4 linked regions of the Saccharomyces cerevisiae S288C genome follow. The gene in region 1 interacts genetically with each later gene. Each region holds a gene or a part of one and is shown in the gene's direction. Other genes may lie near its edges. The genes, in order: CQD1, THI3, PAU13 and PLB2.

What was found.
Region 2: mutations in CQD1 (region 1) and THI3 together harm fitness more than expected from each alone (negative genetic interaction), as found in Saccharomyces cerevisiae (2 studies listed by BioGRID).
Region 3: mutations in CQD1 (region 1) and PAU13 together harm fitness more than expected from each alone (negative genetic interaction), as found in Saccharomyces cerevisiae (2 studies listed by BioGRID).
Region 4: mutations in CQD1 (region 1) and PLB2 together harm fitness more than expected from each alone (negative genetic interaction), as found in Saccharomyces cerevisiae (2 studies listed by BioGRID).

What each region holds. Positions count from the first base shown.
Region 1 is NC_001148.4:344,764-349,181, reverse strand, and holds CQD1 (Cqd1p), read left to right. Parts: upstream 1-1,792; coding exon 1,793-3,585; intron 3,586-3,737; coding exon 3,738-3,918; downstream 3,919-4,418. Other genes in the region: DPC25 (Dpc25p), read right to left, coding at 1-63; YPL108W (uncharacterized protein), read right to left, coding at 230-736.
Region 2 is NC_001136.10:310,124-314,435, reverse strand, and holds THI3 (branched-chain-2-oxoacid decarboxylase THI3), read left to right. Parts: upstream 1-1,964; coding exon 1,965-3,794; downstream 3,795-4,312. Other genes in the region: putative serine/threonine protein kinase MRK1, read left to right, coding at 1-99, 392-1,485. UniProt on the Saccharomyces cerevisiae protein: One of five 2-oxo acid decarboxylases (PDC1, PDC5, PDC6, ARO10, and THI3) involved in amino acid catabolism.
Region 3 is NC_001140.6:11,364-14,075, reverse strand, and holds PAU13 (seripauperin PAU13), read left to right. Parts: upstream 1-1,790; coding exon 1,791-2,153; downstream 2,154-2,712. Other genes in the region: DFP4 (DUP240 family protein), read right to left, coding at 1-511; PXP3 (Pxp3p), read right to left, coding at 1,227-1,574.
Region 4 is NC_001145.3:277,061-281,348, reverse strand, and holds PLB2 (lysophospholipase), read left to right. Parts: upstream 1-1,667; coding exon 1,668-3,788; downstream 3,789-4,288. Other genes in the region: PLB1 (lysophospholipase), read left to right, coding at 1-759; YMR007W (uncharacterized protein), read right to left, coding at 1,009-1,389; TAF4 (Taf4p), read right to left, coding at 4,138-4,288. UniProt on the Saccharomyces cerevisiae protein: Sequentially removes both fatty acyl groups from diacylglycerophospholipids and therefore has both phospholipase A and lysophospholipase activities. However, it does not display transacylase activity.

The sequences.
Region 1 (4,418 bases):
TCTTGTGAACCTCCGCACCGGATAAATTCTGTAAAGTAATGACCATCCCTGATTTCTTATCATTTTCTACTTTTGATCACGTCTCTATCTAATGACGGTTTCATGCACCCTCTGACTGTTGTAATTTACGTATTATTATTCTGTTTAATTTATGCTATTTATGTAAATGAGTTCGGCCATGTCGGAGGAGAAAGATATCTTTTTTCAAATTTGAGTATCTGATTCGGGCTTATAATACATGCCCACGACATCGCTCGATCATATATTCCAACTCTTCAAGCTCCCTCTTCATTTTATTCTTCACGTTGAACGGTTCAAAGAGCCCCAGAAAATAGGTGCTGAGATCCAGACACTCCTTGTACTTACATTGGTAAAATAAACGATGGCAGAAACCACTAAGCACCTGTCGCTGATGCTTATTGGAGATATCGTACTTGCCTTCCCGGATCTCAACCAAGGGATCTACCTCATCCATCCATCCTACCTTTGTCCGCACAGGGCCTTGTTCTACTTCGAAGTAGTGCTGCAATTGCTGTGTATACTCTTCTTCCGTTTGACCTTTACGTATTTTAGTTTTCCCGGTGGATTTTCTAACAATTACTTCACCTGTTCTACCATCTAACGAGATTGGCTTAGTCACTGATTGATCCTTCTCTCCGTGGGCTTTCCTAAAACCTGTACTATAGTTTTTTTCCACCATTTTTGGTGCTTCTTCTCTATCAGATGCTTCTTTCATAAAAATTATTATCTTTCTTAGCTGTTATTCATCTTACATTTTTTTTTCAATTACGGCGAGGCGATGACTTCAATCGTTGCTGTCAAGATTGAATTGACAATTACAGTCGATGTTGAATATTAACTTATATATGACAGATCATTACAGCTAGTCTAGTTCGACAAGATTAGTAAGATTAGGAGTTATTTTTAACTGCTTATTATGCAAGTTGTGTAGGCCACAGGCGCAACTGAAAAACATAATTTCAGATTAGGCAGTTACTGGAAAGATCGCGTTCTTGTATTGTCTAAATAGAAGCAGTTGTTTTAATAATGCTTACAATTGAACTATGAACCAAAGCAATAATTTATGAGAAACTAAAATGGGATGCATCAGATCTTTGCACTCAATTGAGTTTAAAACTGTACAGGTACTAATATTATATTAACGCTGCTTCTATAACACTTGTTTTGACATGACGATAAGTGTAGTGTATTCAAATGCCGTATGTCACTTGAACACACAGGGAACTGCACTCTGCACTTCGGAACAAGATTGAAAGTTACTGTGTTATTAACCTTTGCCAACAAGCGAAAACAACCAGGTGTTTCTGCGGTTTACAAAATCTTTAAGGGATTGAGGTTAGTTGGCTCAAAGAGAAGAAGTTCCCAGTCGATGTATCAAGCAGAGCTAAGAGAAAAAGTGCCGCGAAAGGGTTTGATTGGTCAAGTTGGCTTGTTCATCAGGAACTAAATTAATCAAGGTGTGATTCTATCTGTCAACCCCCCCCCTTGATACTTCCTGTACTTAGAATCAATTTATTAAATACAAATTTAGAATCTGTGATTCGTAAATCTTAAGTGTTTAAATACTAAGTGTGTATTAAAGGCTTTACTTCAAGCAACGAAAAATAAATAACCCCGAATATATGAGGGGCAATAATACCTTTTCACTCATTTGATGAAAAAGAAAAGATGTTTGATGTTATAGAAAATACCTTATACCATATCTTCTACCTACTCATCAATATCAAACCCTCACAGAATAGAGATAAAGAACATCAGAACCATCTGGGCAATGTCATTTTTAAAGTTCGCTTATAGAAACTCTTGGCGATACTATAGCAAGTCCACACGGCATTTTCATAAAATACCTATAAGACAGTTCATAATACCTACGTCAATTGCTTTTTATTTGACACAAAATTCGTTTCCAAAACAAAATTGTTTGATATACAATGATTCTCTAAAACCGGATCCCAAAGGTGATACTTTTGAAATGGGCCTCTACGTTTCCTCAGAAAACGAATTGCAGGAAAAGCTTAAATCTTTCAGGTCTGCTAAGATCACTGAATCACGAAATAAATTAATAAGATATCTAAGAATCTTTTGGTTCGGTTTTAATGATAATATTGTTGAGCCTGTATGCACGATTTTAAGGTTTTTAGAAATTTCAGCTATTTTTTTACCTCTTCTCCTATTATACCCCATATCATGGTTTGGTCATAAACTCAAAATTACGGACACCAATATAACTGAAACTCGAGGTTCATTGATTTGGTGTCAACTACTGCGTAAAGCATTGGAATTGGCTGGCCCGAGTTTCATTAAACTCGGACAATGGGCAGGATCGAGAACCGATATATTCTCTCACGCACTGTGTCATGAGTTGGGTAAATTGCATAGTAACGTTACAGCTCACTCTCTAAGCTTTACTCTGGAAAAACTTTCTCAAGCATTAAAGGTTGACAAGATCGAAGATGCTTTTGATGAATTTAATCGAACACCAATTGGAGTTGGGTCCATCGCACAAGTTTACGTGGGTGAACTATCCCAAAAGTACATCGATAAATATGACAATATACAAATTGGTAAGGATGGAAATCGTTGGTGTGCCATCAAGATCTTGCATCCAAATGTAAGATCTCAGATCCGGAGAGATTTGAAAATAATGAAATTCTGTGCTGACGCAATAAATTGGATTCCGACTATGGAATGGCTGTCTTTACCCAGCGAAGTCGATCAGTTTTCCATATTAATGAATATTCAGTTGGATCTAAGAATTGAGGCGTTAAACCTGGAAAGATTCAATGAGAACTTTAAAAATTCTATTCAGGTGAAATTTCCTAAACCATTTCTCCCCTTGTCAAATAGGGATGTTATGTTCGAAGAGCATGTATATGGTCTTTCCATGGAAAAGTTTTTATCTACGAAGAAGCAAATTAACGACGTTGAACTTTGTAAAAAAGTCAGTGATCCCTTCGTTGACGCGTTTCTACAAATGCTAATTCTTGATGATTTTGTTCATGCTGATTTGCATCCAGGCAATGTTATAATCAGATTTGTGAAGACGAACAAATACGGCACAAACATTATATCCTCCGAACTTGAATCGTACAGAATAACGCACGACCTGAGGAAGAAGATAGAGGAGGACCAAGATCAGGACTTTGTTGGAAAACTGAAGTCTGTATTAACTAATTACACTCCCCAAATTTGTTTTATCGATACAGGAATAATTACAGAATTGAATGAAAAAAACAGAATTAATTTCATAGCTCTATTCAACGCATTGGCCCGATTTGATGGTTATAGAGCTGGTGAGTTGATGATTGAGAGATCAAGAACTCCAGAAACAGCTATTGATAAGGAAGTATTTGCGTTTAAGGTAGAAAAGCTAGTGGATAAAGTTAAACAAAGAACATTTACATTGGGAACCGTCTCAATTGGCGATTTACTCGATCAAATGCTTAGTATGGTAAGGTCGCACCATGTTAGAATGGAGTCCGACTTTGTTTCCGTGGTGGTCGCTATTTTACTTCTAGAGGGTATTGGACGCCAGTTAGATCCAAACTTGGACTTATTTGAAAGGTTCGTATTTTACGCATGGATTAACGGTTTTAAAGAATAACATCAATTTTTTAAAACCCTTTTCTATTGCTTTTTTTTGCTTTTTATTGCTACTAAAGAAATTCTTTTACTAACAAAAATACCCACATCTTGTAACTTCTCTTCGTAAACAGTTCGCTGCCTATATTACGTGAATTCGGGTTTAAGCGGGAAGCCAAAAGTCTCTTGAAAGATGCAAGCACATTATCAATGCTCAAGATATGGGTTGGTTTAGAAGTGCGTCAATTAATGCATCTCTCGATGAAGCAAATATACGATCTTGTCAGGACTGATCAATTGTGTCCTAATTATTAATATTCTTTCTTTTTATGCATCTTTTATAATTGCGACTTCCACGTGTTCGCAGGTGGAGCAATGTTACACACGCTGTCCCAACATATTAGCTCTCCAAAAAAACGACCAAGTTTATTTAAGTGACAAATAATAATTTGCTGTTGCTCTAGCTGAAATTTAGACCAGTGCTGTCATTATCGACTCGTAGTGTTCTTTTAATAGTAAATTTCGTCAAAACGTTTCTAATTCACTTAATAGCGCCAACTGAATAAGAGAATTATTTTTAGAACGTGCACATTATATTAAAAAGAGAGCGTTGGCTGACAGAAGTAAAAAATAAATTATTGTCTTACAAAGTGAGACTATTAAAGAGTTTAAGTTTTGCAATTAGTGCTTCATTGAACAATAAGGCAACGGTAGCAAAAAATTTAAACCCAACTAAGAAGGGAACCCTCATCAAATTACACAAAAATAGCCACTATCTCCAACTAAGGTGACAAACTACTGAAACTGTAAGGTCT
Region 2 (4,312 bases), on another chromosome or scaffold:
CCAATAAGCACGAAAATATTAGTAGCAAGCTTAGTAAAGAGAAGGTTGAGAAAATGATTAATTTTGATTATAGGTATATTAAAACCAAGGAAAGGACTAGTATGTATAATTATTTTTTATTTTTTTTTTTTATGTTCTTGCCAGTGGAGGAATGTTTCTTTCGTCACAACCGGAGTGAATAGTGGAACTACTGTCAGTTCATAGTATCGCGACACAAAAAAAAATAATTAAAAGAAAAAAAAAGAGAGTGTAAAATAAAGATTTATGAAATTGCATCCCTAATCTTAGAAACTTGCTTACGAAATATCAGGAAGCATAGCGGAACATTTTTCCATATTACATCAACTACCATTTTTTATGGGAATCACATTATATACTAACATAGGTTTAGTTCATAAACGGGTTTATAAACATGACCGCAAAACTGATGTCGACCGAAAAAATCATGGAGGAACTATCGACATCAGTTATCCTACGACAGAAGTGGTTGGCCATGGTTCATTTGGTGTTGTAGTCACGACTGTAATAATTGAGACCAATCAAAAAGTTGCCATAAAGAAAGTACTACAAGATAGAAGATATAAAAATAGGGAGCTCGAAACTATGAAGATGTTGTGCCATCCAAATACTGTGGGTCTACAGTACTACTTTTACGAAAAGGACGAAGAAGATGAAGTATACCTCAATCTGGTTTTGGACTACATGCCTCAGTCGTTATACCAAAGGCTTCGTCATTTTGTTAATTTGAAAATGCAGATGCCGCGTGTTGAAATTAAATTCTATGCATACCAACTATTCAAAGCTTTAAACTATTTGCATAACGTTCCTCGAATCTGTCACAGAGATATAAAACCGCAAAACCTACTGGTGGATCCGACAACTTTTTCTTTCAAGATTTGCGATTTTGGCAGTGCCAAATGCTTGAAACCGGATCAGCCTAATGTGTCTTACATCTGTTCAAGGTACTATAGGGCTCCCGAACTCATGTTTGGTGCCACTAATTACTCAAACCAGGTCGACGTGTGGTCAAGCGCTTGTGTCATTGCTGAGTTGCTTTTGGGCAAGCCCTTGTTCTCTGGTGAAAGCGGTATAGATCAGTTGGTGGAAATTATTAAGATAATGGGCATACCCACAAAGGATGAAATTTCAGGAATGAACCCAAATTATGAAGACCATGTTTTCCCCAATATCAAGCCCATTACTTTGGCTGAAATATTCAAAGCCGAAGATCCCGATACTCTTGACTTGTTAACAAAAACTCTGAAGTATCACCCTTGCGAAAGATTGGTACCTCTACAATGTCTATTATCAAGCTATTTTGACGAAACCAAACGTTGTGATACCGACACTTACGTAAAAGCACAAAACCTGCGTATATTTGACTTCGACGTGGAAACTGAGTTGGGCCATGTTCCACTTGTGGAACGGCCCGCCATTGAAGAACGGTTGAAACATTTTGTTTCTGCACCTTCATCGTCTTTGTGATATATCTCATCCTTCAAATTTCTTAGTCTATTGTATCATTACTATTACATAATATGCATTTGTCTTCTGCACACAGATACACAGCGTATGCAGTTAACCTAACGTATAACGACCGTCCTCTTTCCTTCATTTAATTTCACTTGCTGCTTTTCTAGGCAGCGGTCGCCCAAATTTTCACCGGCCACAAGCGTATGACTGCATATGCAGAACCTTGGCAACTGTAAGAACTCCTATGTTTCTTTATTGCAAACAGTTGCTAAAAGCACTCACATAGAAGAAAAATTGATGAAACTTGCGATGCATTGAACAAATTTCCCTTTCTTCATACTTTACGGCATAGTAATCTTTGAACCTTTTGGTAAGCACCAAATTCGTAATTCATTATCGATATTGTGTAGAAAAGAGTAAAATATAATAAAACGAAAAAAAAAAGGTTTGAAAGAACATAACTACTAAAACGCACCGTCGTCATTCTGAAGATGAATTCTAGCTATACACAGAGATATGCACTGCCGAAGTGTATAGCAATATCAGATTATCTTTTCCATCGGCTCAACCAGCTGAACATACATACCATATTTGGACTCTCCGGAGAATTTAGCATGCCGTTGCTGGATAAACTATACAACATTCCGAACTTACGATGGGCCGGTAATTCTAATGAGTTAAATGCTGCCTACGCAGCAGATGGATACTCACGACTAAAAGGCTTGGGATGTCTCATAACAACCTTTGGTGTAGGCGAATTATCGGCAATCAATGGCGTGGCCGGATCTTACGCTGAACATGTAGGAATACTTCACATAGTGGGTATGCCGCCAACAAGTGCACAAACGAAACAACTACTACTGCATCATACTCTGGGCAATGGTGATTTCACGGTATTTCATAGAATAGCCAGTGATGTAGCATGCTATACAACATTGATTATTGACTCTGAATTATGTGCCGACGAAGTCGATAAGTGCATCAAAAAGGCTTGGATAGAACAGAGGCCAGTATACATGGGCATGCCTGTCAACCAGGTAAATCTCCCGATTGAATCAGCAAGGCTTAATACACCTCTGGATTTACAATTGCATAAAAACGACCCAGACGTAGAGAAAGAAGTTATTTCTCGAATATTGAGTTTTATATACAAAAGCCAGAATCCGGCAATCATCGTAGATGCATGTACTAGTCGACAGAATTTAATCGAGGAGACTAAAGAGCTTTGTAATAGGCTTAAATTTCCAGTTTTTGTTACACCTATGGGTAAGGGTACAGTAAACGAAACAGACCCGCAATTTGGGGGCGTATTCACGGGCTCGATATCAGCCCCAGAAGTAAGAGAAGTAGTTGATTTTGCCGATTTTATCATCGTCATTGGTTGCATGCTCTCCGAATTCAGCACGTCAACTTTCCACTTCCAATATAAAACTAAGAATTGTGCGCTACTATATTCTACATCTGTGAAATTGAAAAATGCCACATATCCTGACTTGAGCATTAAATTACTACTACAGAAAATATTAGCAAATCTTGATGAATCTAAACTGTCTTACCAACCAAGCGAACAACCCAGTATGATGGTTCCAAGACCTTACCCAGCAGGAAATGTCCTCTTGAGACAAGAATGGGTCTGGAATGAAATATCCCATTGGTTCCAACCAGGTGACATAATCATAACAGAAACTGGTGCTTCTGCATTTGGAGTTAACCAGACCAGATTTCCGGTAAATACACTAGGTATTTCGCAAGCTCTTTGGGGATCTGTCGGATATACAATGGGGGCGTGTCTTGGGGCAGAATTTGCTGTTCAAGAGATAAACAAGGATAAATTCCCCGCAACTAAACATAGAGTTATTCTGTTTATGGGTGACGGTGCTTTCCAATTGACAGTTCAAGAATTATCCACAATTGTTAAGTGGGGATTGACACCTTATATTTTTGTGATGAATAACCAAGGTTACTCTGTGGACAGGTTTTTGCATCACAGGTCAGATGCTAGTTATTACGATATCCAACCTTGGAACTACTTGGGATTATTGCGAGTATTTGGTTGCACGAACTACGAAACGAAAAAAATTATTACTGTTGGAGAATTCAGATCCATGATCAGTGACCCAAACTTTGCGACCAATGACAAAATTCGGATGATAGAGATTATGCTACCACCAAGGGATGTTCCACAGGCTCTGCTTGACAGGTGGGTGGTAGAAAAAGAACAGAGCAAACAAGTGCAAGAGGAGAACGAAAATTCTAGCGCAGTAAATACGCCAACTCCAGAATTCCAACCACTTCTAAAAAAAAATCAAGTTGGATACTGATCTGATCTCTCCGCCCTACTACCAGGGACCCTCATGATTACCGCTCGAATGCGACGTTTCCTGCCTCATAAAACTGGCTTGAAAATATTTATTCGCTGAACAGTAGCCTAGCTTATAAAAATTTCATTTAATTAATGTAATATGAAAACTCACATGCCTTCTGTTTCTAAAATTGTCACAGCAAGAAATAACATTACCATACGTGATCTTATTAAACTCTAGTATCTTGTCTAATACTTCATTTAAAAGAAGCCTTAACCCTGTAGCCTCATCTATGTCTGCTACATATCGTGAGGTACGAATATCGTAAGATGATACCACGCAACTTTGTAATGATTTTTTTTTTTTCATTTTTTAAAGAATGCCTTTACATGGTATTTGAAAAAAATATCTTTATAAAGTTTGCGATCTCTTCTGTTCTGAATAATTTTTAGTAAAAGAAATCAAAAGAATAAAGAAATAGTCCGCTTTGTCCAATACAACAGCTTAAACCGATTATCTCTAAAATAACAAGAAGA
Region 3 (2,712 bases), on another chromosome or scaffold:
GGTACGGGGTAGCCACCAACTTTTTAAAAACCTGATAGCAATAACTGCCATCGTAGAAAAAAGATCTATCTGCACATATACGACGGTCATATACAAATTGGTTCATGTCATATGCAATCCGGTCCCATGTGCTCAAGTCCATGTTAGGTTTATGTGTAATGACTTCCGCTAATAGTTTGAACTTACAATCATCATCTAAACATCTTAACTTATATCTTGAGCAGCTTAAGTAAGGTAAGAGGAGTAAAAGGAATAGTGAAATTGTAATTAGTAAAGCCGCTAAGATAATAATCAAAGTATTACCGTGTGCAGATAATGCCAGGCGGTTTAAGATTATGGTAATAATAATATGGATGAAAATATATGAAATGAATACGATATTCTGTTTTAAGAAATAAGCGCATTTGCTGGGGGTTATGTCCCTTGGAAGGATCACTGTCTCACCTTCGCATAATTTTCTTAATCCTTCTGGTCTTGGTTTAGAATTAGATATTAATAATTCTGAACTCATAGCCTTAGCGGGCCCTCACTTGCTTTTGAATTTGTCTTTATACCACAAGTTAACAATTACATTTTCTATATCCTTTTTATATTGTTATAATTCGGGACTTAAAAGCGGGAATATCTAGAACTGGGAGGATTGCATCATTTTTCTTGGCCCGTATGTTTTTCTTCGAGTTTTGGCCGCAAGACGAGTAAGAAGAGGACAGAAATAAGTATGTTGCATAACTTTTGTAGAATTTACCAGAAAAACTCCAATATAACTTACTTCATTATGACATATAAGCTAGATCTTGATTTCTTTCGTCAACATACTAAAGCACGCTATCGGAGACTTCTTCAAACCCTTTCTTATGAGAACACTTAGCTGACTGTACATTTAAGAAGCTTTAGAGATGAGCCGTCACCATGAATATAGCGATGGTTTTGTCTACAAGGAATACCAACTATTAATACCATTTCCTACAGAAAGTTTTTAATTGAATAAAATACATTAGCGCCATATATTGCCTTTTTCACTTTTCTTTATATCTAGCTAGAAGAAAAATACTGTGCCTCGAAGAATAAATTTTTCCCACCGCACAGAGTTGTAGTACTGCTACAAACTGAACTCAACATTTTTTTTTTACCATACGCGGCTCTTCCAATACTAGCTGCTTCTCAGCGGCCTACAATTACGTAATTGCGTCAATGAATTTCCTGAGAACGCTTAAAAACTACAAACTCTACAAATAAGCGACTCCCAATACACGTTTTCTATTTTTAATTAAACTATCAGGAGAGGGATAATATAGTATTACCTCTTCCATTGGAGGCTGTTTACAGCAAATTGAATATGGGCTTAAACATAAGAATCTGTACGAGGGTCCAAATCTAAAATTCGGATATTCTTTTTGACCGAAAACGGAAACTTCAAAGGCACGGAAAAGGGTTTTATAAGGCACTCTGGCACCCCTATAATAGGCATTCCCACATTCTGCGCATACGAATAGACAAAGGCCCCAGAAAACAATACCTTCGCATACGGAATCTATAAAGATGCATGCCTCGTTTAAAAACAATAACATCTTCATAGTGATAATCAAATTCTGTGAAAGATGAGATATGGAGAATATGCGAGGTACTAAATGAGCGTCTGTTAACGAATCGTTTAAGTAGTGATGACTGATGAAGGCATGGGTATAAATAGAGCTGCTTCAACTATATGCCTTTGAGAATATGTCTTTATTCCTTCCCTTCCTGTTAAGCTTATATCAGCACTAACAAACATAACAAACATAACAAATACAATGGTCAAACTAACTTCAATCGCCGCTGGTGTCGCTGCCATCGCTGCTACTGCTTCCGCAACCACCACTCTAGCTCAATCTGACGAAAGAGTCAACTTGGTTGAATTGGGTGTCTACGTCTCTGATATCAGAGCTCACTTGGCCCAATACTACATGTTCCAAGCCGCCCACCCAACTGAAACCTACCCGGTTGAAGTTGCTGAAGCCGTTTTCAACTACGGTGACTTCACCACCATGTTGACTGGTATTGCCCCAGACCAAGTGACCAGAATGATCACCGGTGTTCCATGGTACTCCAGCAGATTAAAGCCAGCCATCTCCAGTGCTCTATCCAAGGACGGTATCTACACTATCACAAACTAGAGACAAACGCCTTTACGAATGAAATTCCATAAAACTTAAAAAAACAAAAAAAAAAAAGCTTTTTTTTTTGATAGTATAAATAGTTGATTATATTAATGTATACCAGTATTATAAAACCTACTTGATTATTCATGCCGTTCTTATCAGAAGTATTTACTGTAGTGGTAAAATATAGTGCCTTGATAATCCAATAGTCTTGTCTGTCTAAAAGGCTTCAGTTGAATACCTTCTTTCGTACATGTTGCTATTTCAGGGTATCGGGCCGGAGCATTTACCATTTGCGGCGTAAATGCTAAAGTTAATAAATCTGAGTCTTCCTGTTTTATGAGTCAGATGGAGGTGTAACGCAAAGAGTAAGTTAATCACAGAAAAAGGTTAGTATCCATTACATATTTATGTTATAGAACATATATGCGTATAGAGACAGAAAAATTGTTTAATAATAAAATCACCCACGCTTGCGTAAGACGTCCTTGAAGTCTTAATTAGTCCAGCTATAGTTATTAGCTATACCAATTGAAGAACCAATCGGTCGAGCGTTTTATATATCAGTAGAAAG
Region 4 (4,288 bases), on another chromosome or scaffold:
TTAGTTCCATTGTTGCAAAAGGAACGTGAACTAGATGTTATTTTTGCATTAGACAATTCTGCTGATACTGACGACTATTGGCCAGATGGTGCTTCATTAGTTAACACTTATCAGCGTCAATTTGGCAGCCAAGGTCTCAATTTGTCTTTCCCATATGTTCCAGATGTGAACACATTTGTCAACTTGGGGTTGAACAAAAAGCCAACCTTTTTTGGTTGTGATGCAAGAAATTTGACAGACTTGGAGTACATTCCACCATTAATTGTTTACATTCCAAATTCAAGACATTCATTTAATGGTAACCAAAGTACTTTTAAGATGTCATACTCCGATTCAGAACGTCTTGGTATGATTAAGAATGGGTTTGAAGCTGCCACAATGGGTAATTTTACTGATGATTCTGATTTCTTGGGCTGTGTTGGTTGCGCCATTATCAGACGTAAGCAACAAAACTTGAATGCTACATTGCCCTCTGAATGCAGCCAGTGTTTTACCAACTACTGCTGGAACGGTACTATTGACAGCAGGTCAGTCTCAGGTGTAGGAAATGATGATTATTCTTCTTCTGCTTCCTTGTCTGCCTCCGCCGCTGCTGCCTCTGCCTCTGCCTCTGCCTCTGCTTCCGCCTCTGCCTCTGCTTCTGGGTCTTCCACTCATAAGAAAAATGCGGGCAATGCTTTGGTGAATTATTCTAACTTAAACACTAACACTTTTATTGGTGTCTTAAGTGTCATTAGTGCCGTCTTCGGTCTAATTTAGGCTCTTTCTTCGTTTCTATTTCTTTTCTAAAAGAATACGAGAGTGAGAAAAGCGCAAAAATATCAACATACAAATAGTTTACGAGATCTCAAGTGCATACCGCATCTTATTTTTACAAACTCGAAATCTTACGAGCATTAACATTTACATACCGGGTGTCTTCCCTACATATATCTATCTATACAGATATGTTCATGCAGTACTTTCATCGAAGATATATAGATAGGTTTAAAGTGCAGAAGGAAAAAGCTAGGATTGCAGATATGCCATCTGCAGGCCAAATTTCACTTCCACATATCTGCACTGTTCATGAAAATGATCAGTTTCTTTCTTTCTTGCAGCTTTAGATAATCTGGTTTTTCTGCTTTTACACCTTAGAGATGAATCAAAGACACTCAATTCGGTTATACGACAAAGGGCGAACACAATGATGATTCTCACGACTAAATTAAGGACATACTTTTCAATGGTGATGCCTATAGAGAATTTACCGTCGCACCCAATGCAGCCGGTCTGGCCAAACTGGGAAATAAGGTTTTTCTTGGCTCGTATACGCCTTCGAAAAGCTCCTACAAAGGGACGCGTCGCCTTTTTCAACAATTTTTTACCTTGCGGACATTTCTTCCGCATATTCTCCACCTTGGCATTGTTTACCAACAGAAGAAAGTGAAAAAAAAATCAAAAAAAAGGTAAAAAAAGGACAAAGAGTTAAATAGTCTGAGAATCTTCTTCTTTTCGTATCTCATGTGGAGTAGAATATACCTTATATATGAGCACAATTAGTTATCTTTACAAGGCGTTAGAAATGTCTTTTAGCTTGTTTTTCCTTAGTGTGCCTTCAAATCTTATCAAGGGTTAGAAGTGAGTTAAAATTCACTCGCGCTGGTAAAGTAACACTTCTTACGCAGATGCAATTACGGAACATATTACAGGCTAGCTCGCTAATTTCTGGACTTTCGCTCGCTGCAGATTCGTCGTCCACTACTGGTGATGGTTATGCTCCATCAATAATTCCTTGTCCCAGTGATGATACCTCTTTAGTTAGAAACGCGTCTGGCTTATCTACCGCTGAAACTGATTGGTTAAAGAAAAGAGATGCGTACACTAAAGAAGCTTTACATTCCTTCTTAAGCAGAGCTACTTCTAACTTCAGTGACACTTCTTTGCTATCCACTCTTTTCAGTAGTAACTCTTCCAATGTACCCAAAATTGGTATTGCATGCTCTGGTGGTGGTTATCGTGCCATGTTGGGTGGTGCTGGTATGATTGCTGCTATGGACAATCGTACTGATGGTGCTAACGAGCATGGTCTTGGTGGTTTACTACAAAGTTCCACGTATCTATCGGGTTTGTCCGGTGGTAACTGGTTGACTGGTACTTTGGCATGGAACAATTGGACCTCTGTACAGGAAATTGTAGACCATATGAGTGAGAGCGATTCCATCTGGAATATCACGAAATCCATTGTGAACCCTGGTGGCTCTAATTTGACCTACACAATTGAAAGATGGGAGTCCATTGTACAAGAAGTGCAGGCTAAGTCTGATGCAGGCTTCAATATATCTTTGTCGGATTTGTGGGCCCGTGCACTTTCTTACAACTTCTTTCCAAGCTTGCCAGATGCTGGCTCCGCTTTGACTTGGTCCTCTTTGAGAGATGTTGATGTGTTCAAAAACGGTGAAATGCCTTTACCAATTACTGTTGCAGATGGTAGATACCCAGGTACCACCGTGATAAACTTGAATGCCACTCTTTTCGAGTTCACTCCATTTGAAATGGGTTCTTGGGATCCTTCTTTGAACGCTTTTACGGATGTGAAATATCTAGGTACCAACGTTACAAATGGTAAACCGGTCAACAAGGATCAATGCGTTTCTGGTTACGATAATGCTGGATTTGTAATTGCCACATCCGCCAGTTTATTCAACGAATTTTCCCTGGAAGCTTCCACTTCGACCTATTATAAAATGATTAATAGTTTTGCCAACAAGTACGTTAACAACCTATCCCAAGATGACGATGATATTGCAATTTACGCTGCAAATCCATTCAAGGATACAGAATTTGTTGACCGCAATTACACTTCCAGTATTGTTGATGCCGATGATTTGTTTTTAGTTGATGGTGGTGAGGACGGCCAAAATTTGCCGTTGGTTCCACTAATCAAGAAGGAACGTGACTTGGATGTGGTGTTCGCATTGGATATATCCGACAATACTGATGAATCATGGCCAAGTGGTGTGTGCATGACGAACACTTATGAGCGCCAGTATTCTAAGCAAGGTAAAGGAATGGCTTTCCCATATGTTCCAGACGTTAACACCTTCCTTAACTTGGGCTTAACTAATAAGCCAACGTTTTTTGGTTGTGATGCAAAAAATTTGACGGACTTGGAGTATATTCCACCTTTAGTTGTATATATCCCAAACACAAAACATTCATTCAATGGTAACCAAAGTACTTTGAAGATGAACTACAATGTTACAGAACGTCTTGGAATGATCAGAAATGGTTTTGAAGCTGCTACAATGGGCAACTTTACGGATGACTCTAACTTTTTAGGTTGCATAGGTTGTGCCATCATTAGACGTAAGCAAGAAAGCCTAAATGCCACCTTGCCCCCTGAATGTACCAAATGTTTTGCGGATTACTGCTGGAACGGCACACTAAGTACCTCAGCTAATCCTGAACTATCGGGAAATAGTACGTATCAAAGCGGTGCTATTGCCTCTGCAATCTCTGAGGCTACTGACGGTATTCCAATAACGGCTCTCTTAGGTTCATCAACCTCCGGAAATACTACATCAAACTCAACAACCTCGACTTCATCAAATGTCACTTCTAACTCAAACTCTTCGTCAAATACAACTTTAAACTCAAATTCTTCATCCTCTTCAATTTCTTCCTCTACAGCTCGTTCTTCTTCCTCTACGGCAAACAAAGCGAATGCTGCGGCTATTTCCTATGCGAACACTAATACTCTAATGAGTTTGTTAGGTGCCATAACAGCATTATTTGGACTAATTTAGAAGCCCTTCTGAGAAACAATACATAATACATCCTTTCACCCAAAAGGATAATGACAAGTAAATGTATAAAAATGTGTATTAATATGAAAATTTTTTTCCCGATTATCACTCCTCTTTCCGCTATTTTTGGTAGAAGGATGCCTAACTTCAAGGATTGATATATCTTCCTTATTATAAAGTTAAAATGAACAAAGCAAAAAGGTTGAATGGTCCTCAATAGCTTGGCGATGACTTGACTAAGCGACACCAACCGGCCTTCTTTATGTTAGTCAATCTTGTTTTTTTTATATCCTAGTTTATTTGAAACACTATACCTTTAAATATTATAGACAGTATAAGAGATGAGCAATTAATCTCTGATCTTGGCATAACCCTTTGAAATAATAGTCTGAACGCTGTTGCGCCTATTTTCGAGAGCAAAGAGTAAATCCCTCATTACTATACCAGGCTCCTCTCTAGCTTCTCTAAACTTTAGCCCACTTTCTCCTCTAGCCGTGATG